3 linked regions of the Arabidopsis thaliana genome follow. The protein of the gene in region 1 interacts with the protein of each later gene in a biochemical or structural test. Each region holds a gene or a part of one and is shown on either strand. Other genes may lie near its edges.

Evidence for each region. Proteins that work in one complex are often made in the same cells at the same time.
Region 2: the proteins of CBL3 (region 1) and SR1 form a complex in vitro, tested with the Arabidopsis thaliana proteins (one study listed by BioGRID).
Region 3: the proteins of CBL3 (region 1) and MTN1 form a complex in vitro, tested with the Arabidopsis thaliana proteins (one study listed by BioGRID).

The regions. Positions count from the first base shown.
Region 1 is NC_003075.7:13,407,899-13,412,742, reverse strand, and holds CBL3 (calcineurin B-like 3), read left to right. Parts: upstream 1-1,672; 5' UTR 1,673-2,119; intron 2,120-2,574; 5' UTR 2,575-2,631; intron 2,632-2,713; 5' UTR 2,714-2,744; coding exon 2,745-2,868; intron 2,869-3,033; coding exon 3,034-3,116; intron 3,117-3,241; coding exon 3,242-3,301; intron 3,302-3,375; coding exon 3,376-3,496; intron 3,497-3,616; coding exon 3,617-3,750; intron 3,751-3,867; coding exon 3,868-3,980; intron 3,981-4,077; coding exon 4,078-4,135; 3' UTR 4,136-4,321; downstream 4,322-4,844. Other genes in the region: AT4G26580 (RING/U-box superfamily protein), read left to right, coding at 1-356, 444-801, 892-1,038; CBL7 (calcineurin B-like protein 7), read left to right, coding at 4,770-4,844. UniProt on the Arabidopsis thaliana protein: Acts as a calcium sensor. CBL proteins interact with CIPK serine-threonine protein kinases. Binds calcium ions. Binding of a CBL protein to the regulatory NAF domain of a CIPK protein lead to the activation of the kinase in a calcium-dependent manner.
Region 2 is NC_003076.8:312,685-317,104, reverse strand, and holds SR1 (serine/threonine protein kinase 1), read left to right. Parts: upstream 1-1,699; 5' UTR 1,700-2,353; coding exon 2,354-3,682; 3' UTR 3,683-3,915; downstream 3,916-4,420. UniProt on the Arabidopsis thaliana protein: CIPK serine-threonine protein kinases interact with CBL proteins. Binding of a CBL protein to the regulatory NAF domain of CIPK protein lead to the activation of the kinase in a calcium-dependent manner.
Region 3 is NC_003075.7:18,112,656-18,117,133, reverse strand, and holds MTN1 (methylthioadenosine nucleosidase 1), read left to right. Parts: upstream 1-1,957; 5' UTR 1,958-2,137; coding exon 2,138-2,237; intron 2,238-2,325; coding exon 2,326-2,389; intron 2,390-2,472; coding exon 2,473-2,564; intron 2,565-2,723; coding exon 2,724-2,830; intron 2,831-3,072; coding exon 3,073-3,147; intron 3,148-3,250; coding exon 3,251-3,325; intron 3,326-3,396; coding exon 3,397-3,489; intron 3,490-3,581; coding exon 3,582-3,779; 3' UTR 3,780-3,973; downstream 3,974-4,478. Other genes in the region: AT4G38810 (Calcium-binding EF-hand family protein), read left to right, coding at 51-350, 658-882, 985-1,113, 1,300-1,527; AT4G38790 (ER lumen protein retaining receptor family protein), read right to left, coding at 4,157-4,205, 4,289-4,413. UniProt on the Arabidopsis thaliana protein: Enzyme of the methionine cycle that catalyzes the irreversible cleavage of the glycosidic bond in 5'-methylthioadenosine (MTA) to adenine and 5'-methylthioribose.

The DNA.
Region 1 (4,844 bases):
CTTGCCATGAGGGTATCTAGAGCAAGGTGGTTCATTTTCTTGAGAAGAGTCTTTCATTACCAGAACGCCTCAAGATCCGATCTTGGCACCAATCCTTTCAATTCTATCGCTTGGATGGTATCAGAGCTCATCGCTTTACTTTTACAGATCACTGTGATAACATCCACACTAGCTTTGTCCAAAAACGAGAGGCCTGTTTGGCCGATGAGGTTATGGATCACTGGCTACAACGTTGGATGTCTGCTCAATCTTATGTTACTATACGGTCGGTATCGTCAGCAAGATACTAGCCATGAAAATGCATTTAGCTTCGGCGATATTGAGCAGCAACAAAGAAGCAGGGAAGAGACCACCAGGTTACTAACAAAAATCTAGTTTTTTCAAGTTTGATCATAAAATGCAAAGATTTCTAGGAAAATGACTTATTTTTGTGTGTGTTTTAGGTGCTCGCATTTGATGAACAAATGCCGGACATCGCTGGAGCTATTCTTTGCGATATGGTTTGTGATAGGTAATGTATGGGTTTTTGATTCTCGGTTTGGTTCTTTCCACTATGCTCCAATCCTTCATGTCCTCTGCATCTCCCTACTCGCTTGGAACGCTCTCTGTTACTCCTTCCCATTTCTTCTCTTCCTCCTGCTCTGTTGTGTTGTACCTCTCGTTAGTAGCTTCCTCGGCTACAACATGAACGTTGGATCTTCGGAAAAAGGAGCTTCAGATGACCAGATCTCCAGTCTCCCAAGTTGGAAATACAAACTCATTGATGAAACTTCTGATTCTTCTCAAGCAAACAATGATCCGGTAAGCACTAATTTGAATTCTGAAATAGGTCAAATAGTCAGAAATCAATCTTGATATCAAAACTGAAACCCACCGGTTTCATTATTGCAGGAATGTTGTATATGTTTGGCAAAGTACAAAGAGAAAGAAGAAGTGAGAAAGCTTCCATGTTCGCATAGGTTTCACCTCAAATGCGTAGATCAATGGCTTCGTATCATCTCGTGTTGTCCTCTTTGCAAACAAGATCTCCCTAACTGAAAAATCAAAACAATACATGAGTCACAAGATTGAATCTCTGACCAAGTACCATATATGTGTTTTTTTTTTTTTCTGTTGCCGCCTAAACACGTTTACTTGTGTGAATGTCGTTATCATTCCTTTTTTTTTCTTGTGTACAAAGTAGCTCACCAGTAACTGTAATTTTACCTAAAAAAAAAGTTAAAAAACATGATCAATCTGTTGTTTTACCAGTAGAGTTTGTCCCTCTCTTACCATTAATCAAAGTTTTAATTGTTGGTTAATGTAACTAAGCTTATACTGGTTTTTGCTATAATATTTTTTCCAAAGACAATTTAAACCGAATTCAAACCCAGAGACCAAATCAGACCAAAGCAACAGTCAGAATCCGAATAACATGACACGCCGTCGTATAGGAACGATTATTGAAACGATGGTGTTTAAGACAGCGCATAAATGGACACATGCTCCACTAGACGACGACGTGTGAAAGTGAATGTAACAAGGAGTTTTATTACAACTGTATCAACATCGAGTAAAAATAAACAAAATTATTTATTTTTTAAATTTAAAAAGTATAAAAACGCCAACAAACAAAAATAATTTGGTCTTTTTCTTAGCATATTTAAAATTTTGCAATATATTCATTCTGCTTATAGAAAATCGTGTCGACCTTTTTTCTCTCACTTACCCAATAAGAGCTTTTTTCGCGTTTTCCACCGCAACCACCGTCACCTTCAACCGCCGGAGCCGCCGCAAGGAAGGCTCATCATCCGCCGTGGCGTAAGGCTTTTTCTTCTTCTCTTTCTCCCTTTTCTACGATTTCGCGGTCGGTCGCTTCCTCGTAATCTCGTGTGTTTATTCCGGGAAAATCGCGATGGGAAACAAGTTAAAATTTGAGATTGAGAATCAAGCAACTAATTTCTTCGCAAGCTGATAGATCCATGAGCTGATTACCAAGTTTATATAACGAGATTCATCGTTGTTGTATCTCTGAATCCGAACGATTTGGAATCTAAAACTCATTGGATCGCTTTTTCTCATATCCGTCATTTCTCCTTAGCTTAATCACTTCTCTGATTCATATCGCGATTAGATTCAGGTGTCGATCCTCAGAGGATTATATTTTCTGACGATTAATCCGTCTGGATAGTTTTATTATGTTCTTCATGATGCATTTTTTTTCCCCGCAAAATTCATGATGCATTTCTGACGTGAAATTGGGTGTTTTTGATTCCTCATTTTATCCTAGTTCATGTATTTTTTGGGGCTGTTTCTTAGATTTGGGTTTCGTGTTTTAGCTTAAAGATAGTTCCTAATCCATGAATACATTGGTTAATCTGGAAATGAATCTGGAGTTAAGATTAATGCATAAAGTTTACGACCGTTTATAATATGCGTCTCCTCTGTTTGTGTTTCATAGTATCTGGTGCTTTAGTCTAATTCAGATCTGATCTGAGAATGATGAATCTTGTTTGCTCCTGTCAATTCTTCTTTAACTGTTTTGCAATTTGATGAGCTAATAACTGACTATATCTCATTTCCTTCCCATCGCAGAATTTTTTGAGGTGTACAAAGCATTGCCTATTTGACGAACCAGGAAATGGTTAAAAGGTACTTATCTTGTTCAAATGCATATGTCTTTAGATTCTTCCAAGTGGTTCGAAAGTTCTTACATTTTATTGTTATTTAACAGGCATGGAGAGTTTTGATTTACAAGATATATCATGTCGCAGTGCATAGACGGTTTCAAGCATGTATGCTCCTCTTTTTTCCGGTGTTTTGATATCGATATTTACAAACAATCTGGAGGCCTTGGTGACCCTGAACTTCTTGCGAGAGAGACAGTTTGTATGCTCTCAACTTCTTTTCCATCTTATTTTAACTTCCATGCACTTTTTTTTTCCAGTTATATGTATGATTCAAAGGCTTGCCATTACTCTAGTTGATGCTCTCTGTTAAGAGGAATGCAAATCTTTCTTTCTGTGTTTTGATCATTGACTCGTTTGGGTGCAGTTAGCGTGAGTGAAATAGAGGCTCTCTATGAGCTGTTTAAGAAAATCAGCAGTGCTGTGATTGATGATGGGCTAATAAACAAGGTATGAAGGAAGGGCATCATTATATGTCTTTTATGCCACTCACTTATACTCCTCACGAATCATGCATATTGCTACGTCTTTTGGACATCCTTTTCTGATTTTCCTTGACCTGTCTTGTCGTTCAGGAAGAATTTCAGTTAGCCTTGTTCAAGACAAATAAAAAAGAGAGCTTGTTTGCAGACCGGGTATGTTCTTCTTTTTTAATCAAAAGACTTTGTTATCCATTTGCCAAGATCCTTTTTGAAAGATAACTTGACAGTACCAATCACAGGTATTCGATTTGTTTGACACAAAGCATAATGGAATACTGGGGTTTGAGGAGTTTGCGCGTGCTCTCTCTGTCTTTCATCCAAATGCTCCCATAGAAGACAAGATTGACTGTACGTCTTTGATCTTACAAAGTTGATCTGAGAAACCATCTATACAATTTATCTGATGTTGACATGCTACATGTAACCCATGAAATATCACTAACAGTTACCGGGAACATTGTTTTGCAGTTTCGTTTCAGCTATATGATCTTAAGCAGCAAGGTTTCATAGAGAGGCAAGAGGTGAAGCAAATGGTGGTGGCTACTCTTGCTGAGTCCGGCATGAACCTGTCAGACGAAATCATAGAGAGTATAATCGACAAGGTGTGGTTCCTTCCTACCCTGCTCGATACTATATTCTTGTTCCACTGTTGTATAGCCAACTCATGATAGCAGTTGAGAATAAAGTAAAGAGTGGTTTCTAAGTTTCTTCTTTCACAGACATTTGAGGAAGCTGATACAAAACATGACGGGAGGATCGATAAGGAAGAGTGGAGAACCCTTGTTCTCAGGCATCCTTCCCTTCTAAAGAATATGACTCTCCAGTATCTTAAGTGAGTTCCTAAACCAAGACTTATCCGAGGTTTAGGCAATGCAACTTCCAATTTTTTCTGTGTTATTATTAACACCGATCTCTGATATTGTGTGCAGGGATATAACAACTACATTTCCGAGCTTTGTGTTCCACTCGCAGGTGGAAGATACCTGAGAAAAACAATAGCATATTAGCAGAGGAGACAATTTGGGAATTGTGTTTGTTTTCTGATTATGTATCATGTCTATTTGTTTCAATCTCTCTGAACATTTTCAAGATTTTGTTGTTACTTGTGTGAATTAAAAGTAAAGAAAACAAATCTGTATTTTTGCTACTCCTGATTTTGATTGCTGATTTTCTCCTCGCATCTGTAGATATACTACTAACCTTGAGACATGAATCCTATTAATAAAGAGCAAACTGATGAAGTGATAATAGAGAGCAAAAAAGAGAGAACCCAACACCAAATGATCGGGTATGCTCTAGTCTGAATTCTGAAGTCAAAATTGAAATCACCGATTTGATCGAACCGGATGCAACATTACAACAATCGGATTTGTTAGTCTTGTGGTTGACTTTGTCAGTTAGAGTTGACAAAGTAATTAGCAAAGTTAGTGACGATTGTGTTCTGCATAAACACGTTTACTTTGAGGAATAAATTACTTACTCTTTCGGTCTTTCCTAATATATATGTTTTCCCTGTCTCAAAGATCTGAATAGGTATCAGAGCGCGTTGACAATCTCTTTTTTTGATCATCGATTTGTTCTCTCTTTCTTGGCTAAAAAGTTTCTATCTACACGACTCTCCATGGATTCAACAAGAAATTCAGCTTCTTCCAACTCCACGGGATGCTTTACGGATCAGAAAAAGCGAAAGGCACTC
Region 2 (4,420 bases), on another chromosome or scaffold:
CTTCAGAAGTTATTTATGGTCATATATATTATATCGTTAAATTTTGTCGTAAAAATGGGTTATATGGTCACATTAATCTTGCATGGGACCAAAAGTAACAAGCTAAATTAATAATGTATTCTTTTATTTTGTTTGTCAACAATTAATAATGTATTCAAAATCAGTAGATATTTTGATTGGAGCAACCTTTCGAACCAACGAAAGAAAAGGGGCAATTATATAACCATCCATTTTTATTGACAGAACCTTGATTTCGTAATTATTTAACGAGCTTCTTTCCTTCCTCCTTCTCTTTTTCCCCAACGAAAGAAGCTTCCATGAAACAGCATCAGAAAAAATCAAAATTAAAAACAAATGAAATCTTTCGTACATCACATTATTAACGCGGTAATTTATTTTTATTTTATTCCCGTACATGTCTTTTAATGGATTTATATATATTAAAAAAGATGTTGATTTGGTTTTATGTGAATACTGTAGTACTAATTTATGCCTACCAAAAAAAAATAGTACTAATTTATGTGTGGCTTGGATTTATATATATGTACAAATGGGCACAGCGTGACAGCGAAAATAGTAACGTACGATTTATCTAATCTTTAAAACGTTGTGTGTTTTGGATAAATTACAAAAATAATTAAAATTGATTTTATATTTTGTTGTACGCTGCGGTGGGTAGATCACGTCGTAGATTTACTATAAAAATTGACACTGCAAAATTTATCCTCTTTTTTTTGGTATTAAACTTTAACCAAAACTTCACAAGATTATAAAAGCCTTGCACTCTAACAATGCAATGCGATGATTTCTAAGTCGTCAAATGTTTAAGTCTGAGGAATTGGGACATAATTAGTGTGATTGTGGGTAGTGATCATACATGGAACTAATACATCTTTATAAAATTATACTGACTTTCCAACTTAGCTAAGTAAGAAAATAGTAACTATTAAAAAAAAACAATGAGATAATGTTAAATATTAATCAAATTTGTTTTTCTTTTTTATTTTGGGCAAAAGTTATTTTTTCAAGCGCACTGTTTGTACTTTATAATGTGAAACATATATTGAAAATAATCAATTGAAATCTTAAATGTAGTCATATTTCTTTTTTTCAAAAAGCATCAAATAGATCAATTTGCCCATAAGACTCGATTTATTTTTCCACGAATATGGGAAAAAACAACTGGAGATTTTTAAAAAGGAATGACATATGTTTTCCAAATGTATTAACTAATGATTCCAACATAAGCAAATATATTTTCTAAAAATAGTGAAATAAACAACTGTGAAATGTATACAAAAAGCATGAAATATATTTTCCCAAGTATTGTTTAAATTTGATAAATAATTCAAGTTATTTGGAACAGTGATGGAGTGGAAAAATAAACATAAGAATCATAATTAAAAATGAACGTAGAGTTTAGATAGTGATTTGAAAAGATTAAGGAAGATTAGGAAATGACACTAGTTATAGGACGATTCCAACCTTGAGCAGTGGGGCGGGAGTTGTAGTAACCTGTCAACCGCAATATATAGCCTGGTGCTCAAAATGAGACTTGAACTAATACTAATAAGGGGAATTTGGATGTTCAAAGGACTTAACCACGATTGATGACTAAACAAAGCAGTGGTTAGCTGAATTACTAACTAACTAGAGCTAGCTGCCTAGGCTAGTCGAAAGAACAATTCTCCGTTTTGAGTTGACCATAAAATAATAATATTCAACAATATTGGAGGAAACATGTTTATATGTTCTTGTAATAATAATATTATAGCAAATAGCCGAAGATACGACGAAGCGTATATGTGTGAAATGAGTATATTCTACAGCCTAAACCCTCGGAGATACCAAATCAACACGACAACAGCGACGGGACACCTGTATGGTTCTAATTCAACTTCTTGTCCACATCTTCATCTTCTTCTTCTTCTTTTTTTAATAGATATATTAAGAAAACAAAACAGAAAATCTCCCACGTCTTTACAAAGAAAATAAAGAAGAAGAAAATAAGGAAAAAGAATCTGATAGTAATTGACAAAAATACCCTCATCTCCTACCTCAAGACAGTAATATATATGTAACAACTCGATACAGAGCATGGCTTATCTCTTATCCGAATCCTCCCAATTTGTCTGTCTCTCTTTTGTTTTCTCTGCTAACAGATCTCTCTAAATATCTGTTACTTTTGTTCATATCTTTTTACTTTTCAAACTACTAATTTTCCTTTCGCTTCTTCTATTAATAACAACACTCTCTCTCTCAGACTTCTTTTCTTTTTTTTCTACGGCGTTGATTCATTCGCAATGACCTCAGTTTCTGTGTACCATAATTGACCTAGCAGATTCTGTTTTTAATGGTAGATTCTGACCCGGTGGAATTTCCGCCGGAGAACCGCCGTGGACAGCTCTTCGGCAAATACGAGGTCGGAAAATTGGTGGGATGCGGCGCCTTCGCGAAAGTGTACCACGGGAGGAGCACAGCGACGGGTCAGAGCGTTGCGATCAAAGTGGTGAGCAAGCAACGGCTGCAGAAAGGAGGACTCAATGGCAACATTCAGAGAGAGATCGCTATCATGCACCGTCTGCGCCACCCTTCTATCGTGCGCCTGTTCGAGGTCCTCGCCACCAAATCCAAGATCTTCTTCGTCATGGAATTCGCCAAGGGCGGTGAGCTATTCGCCAAAGTCTCCAAGGGCAGGTTCTGCGAGGATCTTAGCCGTCGTTATTTCCAGCAGCTCATCTCCGCCGTCGGATATTGCCACTCCCGCGGCATCTTTCACCGTGATCTCAAACCGGAGAATCTCCTCCTCGACGAGAAGCTCGATTTGAAGATCTCTGATTTCGGACTCAGCGCTCTTACCGATCAGATCCGACCCGACGGCCTCCTCCACACACTCTGTGGTACGCCGGCGTACGTGGCGCCTGAGGTTTTGGCGAAGAAAGGGTACGACGGTGCTAAAATCGACATATGGTCATGTGGAATCATACTGTTCGTCCTCAACGCCGGTTATCTCCCTTTCAACGACCATAATCTCATGGTTATGTACCGGAAAATCTACAAGGGAGAATTTCGCATTCCCAAGTGGACCTCACCGGATCTCCGGCGACTGCTGACTCGGCTTTTAGACACGAATCCGCAGACGAGGATCACTATCGAAGAGATCATCCACGATCCATGGTTCAAACAGGGCTACGACGATCGGATGTCTAAATTCCATCTAGAGGACTCCGATATGAAACTCCCGGCGGACGAGACCGACAGCGAGATGGGAGCAAGGAGGATGAACGCATTCGACATCATCTCAGGATCTCCAGGGTTCAATCTCTCCGGTCTTTTCGGAGACGCCAGAAAGTACGACCGAGTGGAACGGTTCGTGTCGGCGTGGACGGCGGAGAGGGTGGTGGAGAGGCTGGAGGAGATCGTGTCGGCGGAGAATCTGACGGTGGCGAAGAAGGAAACATGGGGGATGAAGATCGAGGGGCAAAAAGGTAACTTCGCAATGGTGGTTGAGATAAACCAGCTAACGGACGAGCTGGTTATGATAGAGGTGAGGAAGAGACAAAGAGCCGCTGCATCTGGACGAGATTTATGGACAGATACACTCAGGCCTTTCTTCGTCGAGCTTGTGCACGAATCAGACCAAACGGACCCAGAACCAACTCAAGTACATACGACGTCGTAGTTTAGGTATCTGTCAAATAAATTATCCAAATAATAATTAAAAAAAAATATCCCGGGTTATATGTAATTGCTTTTTTTTTTACCCGGAGAATATCTCTGACATAATTATTCAGGAAATTTCTCGACAAATCTTAATTTTTAGTTGGCAAGTATGTATCTTCTTGTTATGTAATCATAATTATATTTTATATAAATGAAAAATAAAATATAAAAAAATGTATTACTTGTTTTAAATGGCCACTATAATACATTAGTAACGTATCGTGGATGTGAAGTAATGCTATGTGTACAAGACACTCTAACTTAACCATTACTTAAGGATTAGTTAACTATTCAACATGATATTTAACATACATATAGATGTAATTTTTAACAACTCATAAAACACAGTCTTCTTCTGCTATTAATTTTGTCATTATGTAAAAAGAAGTGTCAAGATTTGAGCCATGAACTAACACAACTGATCTACTTTCACCTTTTTGATAAGTAAGAGGTTGTCCTTATCACATCATTGTAAAAATATACTATTAAAATAGATATATAGCTAGTGGACTTTATATAATCCTATCGCATGTGGCTGTGATATAAGATCATACACCAATAATTCTCATCAATCATTTTCTTTTCTTGGTATCCACATTGAATCCAATCATCCATAATCCATTAATTTCAGCTTCAGCAGTTATAATTACTGTAATCAACATATATATCACCTTTTCAATGCAATAATTGTAGGCTC
Region 3 (4,478 bases), 4.7 Mb from region 1:
CCGTACATTTATTTTTCATCGTTTGTAACGTTATAATAAACTATATACAGGTCCTAAACGAATTCACTCATGGGAGTCAAGAGAAAGTGAGCAAGACAGAGTTCAAAGAAGTGTTGTCGGACATTTTGTTGGGTATGGCTGCTGGTCTGAAACGTGATCCTATCGTCATCCTCAGGATGGACGGTGAGGATCTCTCGGAGTTTGTCCACGGCCCTGGATATGAAATCGAGAGCATTTCTGTTTTCTCAGAGCTCTCCAGTAGCAAGGACGCATCGCTCCGTGATTGTATCGTCAAAGCTCTCCAGTCTCTTTCTGTTGATCATGGAATGCCTCCTTCCAACGACCCATGGGTACCTATTTATTTTATTTTTATATATTTCTGTTAAGCTATGGATTTTCCTAATTTAACTTCAAATCTAAATTTATATGATTGATAAAATAAAGCATATAATATTAAGAACCGTTTGTTTTTGTATTTTTACCAAAACCGTAAAAATACTTTTCGGGTGTTTTTTTTTTGTTGTACAAAATATCAGAACGATACTTACATGGTGGGAGTACATATGATACGTAATATGTATCCAAGTTCGTATTTGATGTTATATATGTTGCTAGAGACAACTGAGTTTTGCCTAAAAAGCAAAGTCCTTGTAACAGGTGATGAGCAACATCGTAGAACCAATTGTTGACTCTTGTCTTGATGAAGAAGATAAAAGAGAGAAAAGCGCGTCTCAGGAGAGATTCTTGGAAGCATTCAAGAGAGTCGTGGAGAGTGTGGCTCAGCGTCTCAATGAACAGCCCGTGATCGTTGCTCACAGCGAAAACACCTTTGATGGGAGCGGTATCAGGAGGCTCTTGTCCAATAAATTCGAATTCGATAAGGTAAACTACCATACATATATATGTTATCTAGCTTTTATGCTAAAGGAAAACTTTTTAAATGATGGTAACGAGTGATGATGATCCGGAACGGTTTGGTCGCAGGCACTAAACGTTGCCATGGAGACGATTCCAAAAGACCGTCAGGGTAAGGTGTCTAAAGGATATCTACGAGCTGTGCTTGACACTGTTGCACCATCGGCCACTTTACCACCAATAGGCGCTGTGTCCCAGGTAAATAATGCCCCGTCTAAATTATTTTGTCTTTTAAATTGTTTATTTTGCCTTTGAATTTACATGTTACAATTATTTGTTAAACAAATGAAACCAGAATTAGTGTTTTAATCAAAAATTATTAGTGAATTTTTATTTTTATTTTTTGAACGGCATTGATTAGTTAAGTTTGTTTTTGTTTATAAGATGGATAATATGATAATGGAAGCGTTGAAGATGGTGAATGGAGATGATGGAAATGTGGTGAAGGAAGAAGAGTTTAAGAAAACAATGGCAGAGATATTGGGGAGTATAATGTTGCAGCTCGAGGGTAGTCCCATATCGGTTTCCTCTAACTCGGTGGTTCACGAGCCGCTCACCTCGGCTACCTTTCTGCCGTCAACTTCGACTGATACAGAGGAGCCTTCAAACTAATCATAGAAGGGAATAAGCAGCACTAGCAGCAACAAATGTTATATGGTTTTGACTTTTGAGTGTTTACCCCCAAAAGTTTTAGATTAATGAGGAAAACCGTCTTTACTTTCAGATGTATAAAATTGAAAGTTTGGGGTTTCCTCTTGTTGGTGTGGTGATTCTACTCATGCCTTTTTTTTTTTTTTTCTAATGACCATGGGATGCAATGTTTACTCTGTTTTTTAATTTCGTTAAAATTTGTTTACGTTTATGATGCTTGAATGGCTATGATGAAACATTTGAGTTATCTTTAAAAGTGTGAAATAAATATTCTGAAGTTAATTGAAGAATTTGAAAATTTGATTACAAGAGCTTGGCTAAAACTACAAGGAGACCAGATTAGTACAAAAACTTAGCTAAATTTAATTAATTACGGTCATTAGCACAAAAAAATAATTTGTTTTTATTATATTATTATTGGTAAGTGGAAACACAAAAGAGGACCAAAAGGTCCAAAAACGAATAAACTGTATCTCTCATTCGCCGGAGTTTCCAGCCGTTTCTTTCCGATTCTCGGATTTTTCCTGGGAATCAAACGCATCGCCGAGAATCGGAAGAGAGGGATAAGGTTATGGCTCCTCATGGAGATGGATTAAGTGACATCGAAGAACCTGAGGTCGATGCTCAATCGGAGATTCTTCGACCGATCTCCTCAGTCGTCTTCGTCATCGGTACTTTATGATTTATGAAGTTTCCGATTCGATCGATTTCTTCTTCGTCTTCTTACTTACTTTTTGTGTGTTTCTGACGGAGCTGCAGCTATGCAAGCGGAGGCTCTTCCTTTGGTCAACAAGTTCGGACTCTCTGAAACTACTGATTCGCCGTTAAGAGCTCTCCTTTTTTCGATTTTGCTTGTTTGGATTTGATCTCCATGAATCTCTCACTTCAAAGTTTACTTTTTTGCAGGCTTGGTAAAGGATTGCCCTGGGTTCTGTATCACGGCGTGCATAAAGATCTTCGAATCAATGTAGTTTGCCCCGGAAGAGATGCAGCTTTAGGTAAGCTTTGCACTCAATGCTCTCAAAGATATGATAATTAGCCTGTGAATCTCTCAGCATTTTAGTATAGTAGCTTTGGTTTCTCAAGTCGCTGCATTGTTTGGTATGAGGGAAAATGAATGCACTTTTTTTATGCTACTAACTGAGATTTCTCTCCAGGGATCGATAGTGTTGGAACTGTTCCAGCTTCTCTCATAACTTTTGCTTCCATCCAAGCATTAAAACCTGACATCATAATCAATGCCGGAACCTGCGGTGGCTTCAAGGTACAGTTCTTTTACTTCTCGTGTGCTCTGTCTTGACTTCCAGCATCCTTGCTAAGAACCACGTCCTCTCTTCTTTCTTTACTTGTGGTTTGGGTTTGATTTTGTTACTGCTCGTTTACTCAACTCTGAGATTTGAGTTGCATCATAAAAGATCTCTCTCTCTCTCCATATCTCTATTTTTATGTTGTGAAAGTTGGTTTATTTTCATGTAATGAAAGTGCTGATTGGCTGAACATTTGCAGGTCAAAGGAGCCAACATAGGCGATGTATTCCTTGTATCTGATGTTGTGTTTCATGATAGAAGAATACCAATTCCGGTAGGTTCATCTTCCTTTCTTTCTTTTTTCCATCTTTAGTGATGATTCCCTTTTTGCCAGTTCATCTTGCAAGTTCCTGAGCAATGTTTGTTTATCTCTCTAGATGTTTGATCTGTATGGAGTTGGTCTCCGTCAGGCATTCTCGACACCCAATCTCCTCAAGGAACTCAATTTGAAGGTATTTAATAGACTCAAGATGCTACTTACTCTTTTAACTATTTCAATTTTGACAAAATTGGGGTGGTTCAGATTGGCAGGTTATCTACTGGTGACTCGTTGGATATGTCCACGCAAGATGAAACATTGATCATTGCCAATGATGCTACGCTAAAGGACATGGAGGTAGTGTAATGTTAACAATTCTTATTACTGAATCTAACCAGAAAATCAATGAAACTGTTGTTTTGAAACTCTTTTGGCTCTGGATTCTTCAGGGTGCTGCCGTGGCGTATGTGGCTGATCTTCTGAAAATACCAGTCGTGTTCCTCAAAGCCGTGACCGATCTAGTGGACGGAGATAAACCTACAGCAGAAGAGTTCTTGCAGAACTTGACAGTTGTGACCGCTGCATTAGAGGGAACTGCTACTAAAGTGATCAACTTCATCAATGGGAGAAACCTTTCGGACCTTTAACTTCTGTTCTCTTCCTTTTTTATGGAGAGTGATTTTTTAAAATGCGTTCAACGTGCTTGTTGCAGTTTCACTGATTTCCAGTGATCATATTTCTCGTTAATAAATTTCAAGTTATAAGACGTTCTCTCCCTAGTGTTGCTTAAATTTTGGTAAAGAAACAATTTCAAAGATAACTTATCGACCTGAAAGACGTTAAATCCCTTGATAGGCAAAATATACAACACTGTAAAATTAATTCGTAACCGAGACACTTGGTGAAACCTCAAGACACATAAACGATGAAATCAGAGGTAAAGAAAAATTGAGCTATCTTTCCCAATTAGAATTTCCGTCAAGCTCATCGCAGGACATCGTTGGGGTATTTCTATCTTTTGAACTTATACTACTCCAGACGGTAGCCGGAGAACAAGCTGGCCTCCGAAAACGCTGTAAAGAAAAATGTTGAAACTTTTGAGATATATACAAAGAGCTAAATAGCTAAACTGTTGAAGTGAAGGACTAATGCGTACCTTTTGACGTAGTAGTAACAGAAATCTGCCAAGATGAAAGTTTGAACAATTTCTGAGATCAGAACCATTGATGGCCACAATCCATAACCCAATGCTACAAGCAACCGTCCCCGCGTGTCCACAACCTATTTTCAGCACATTAGACAATGTATTCAGCTATTCAAAATCGACTTTTAAGGTACTAATCCAA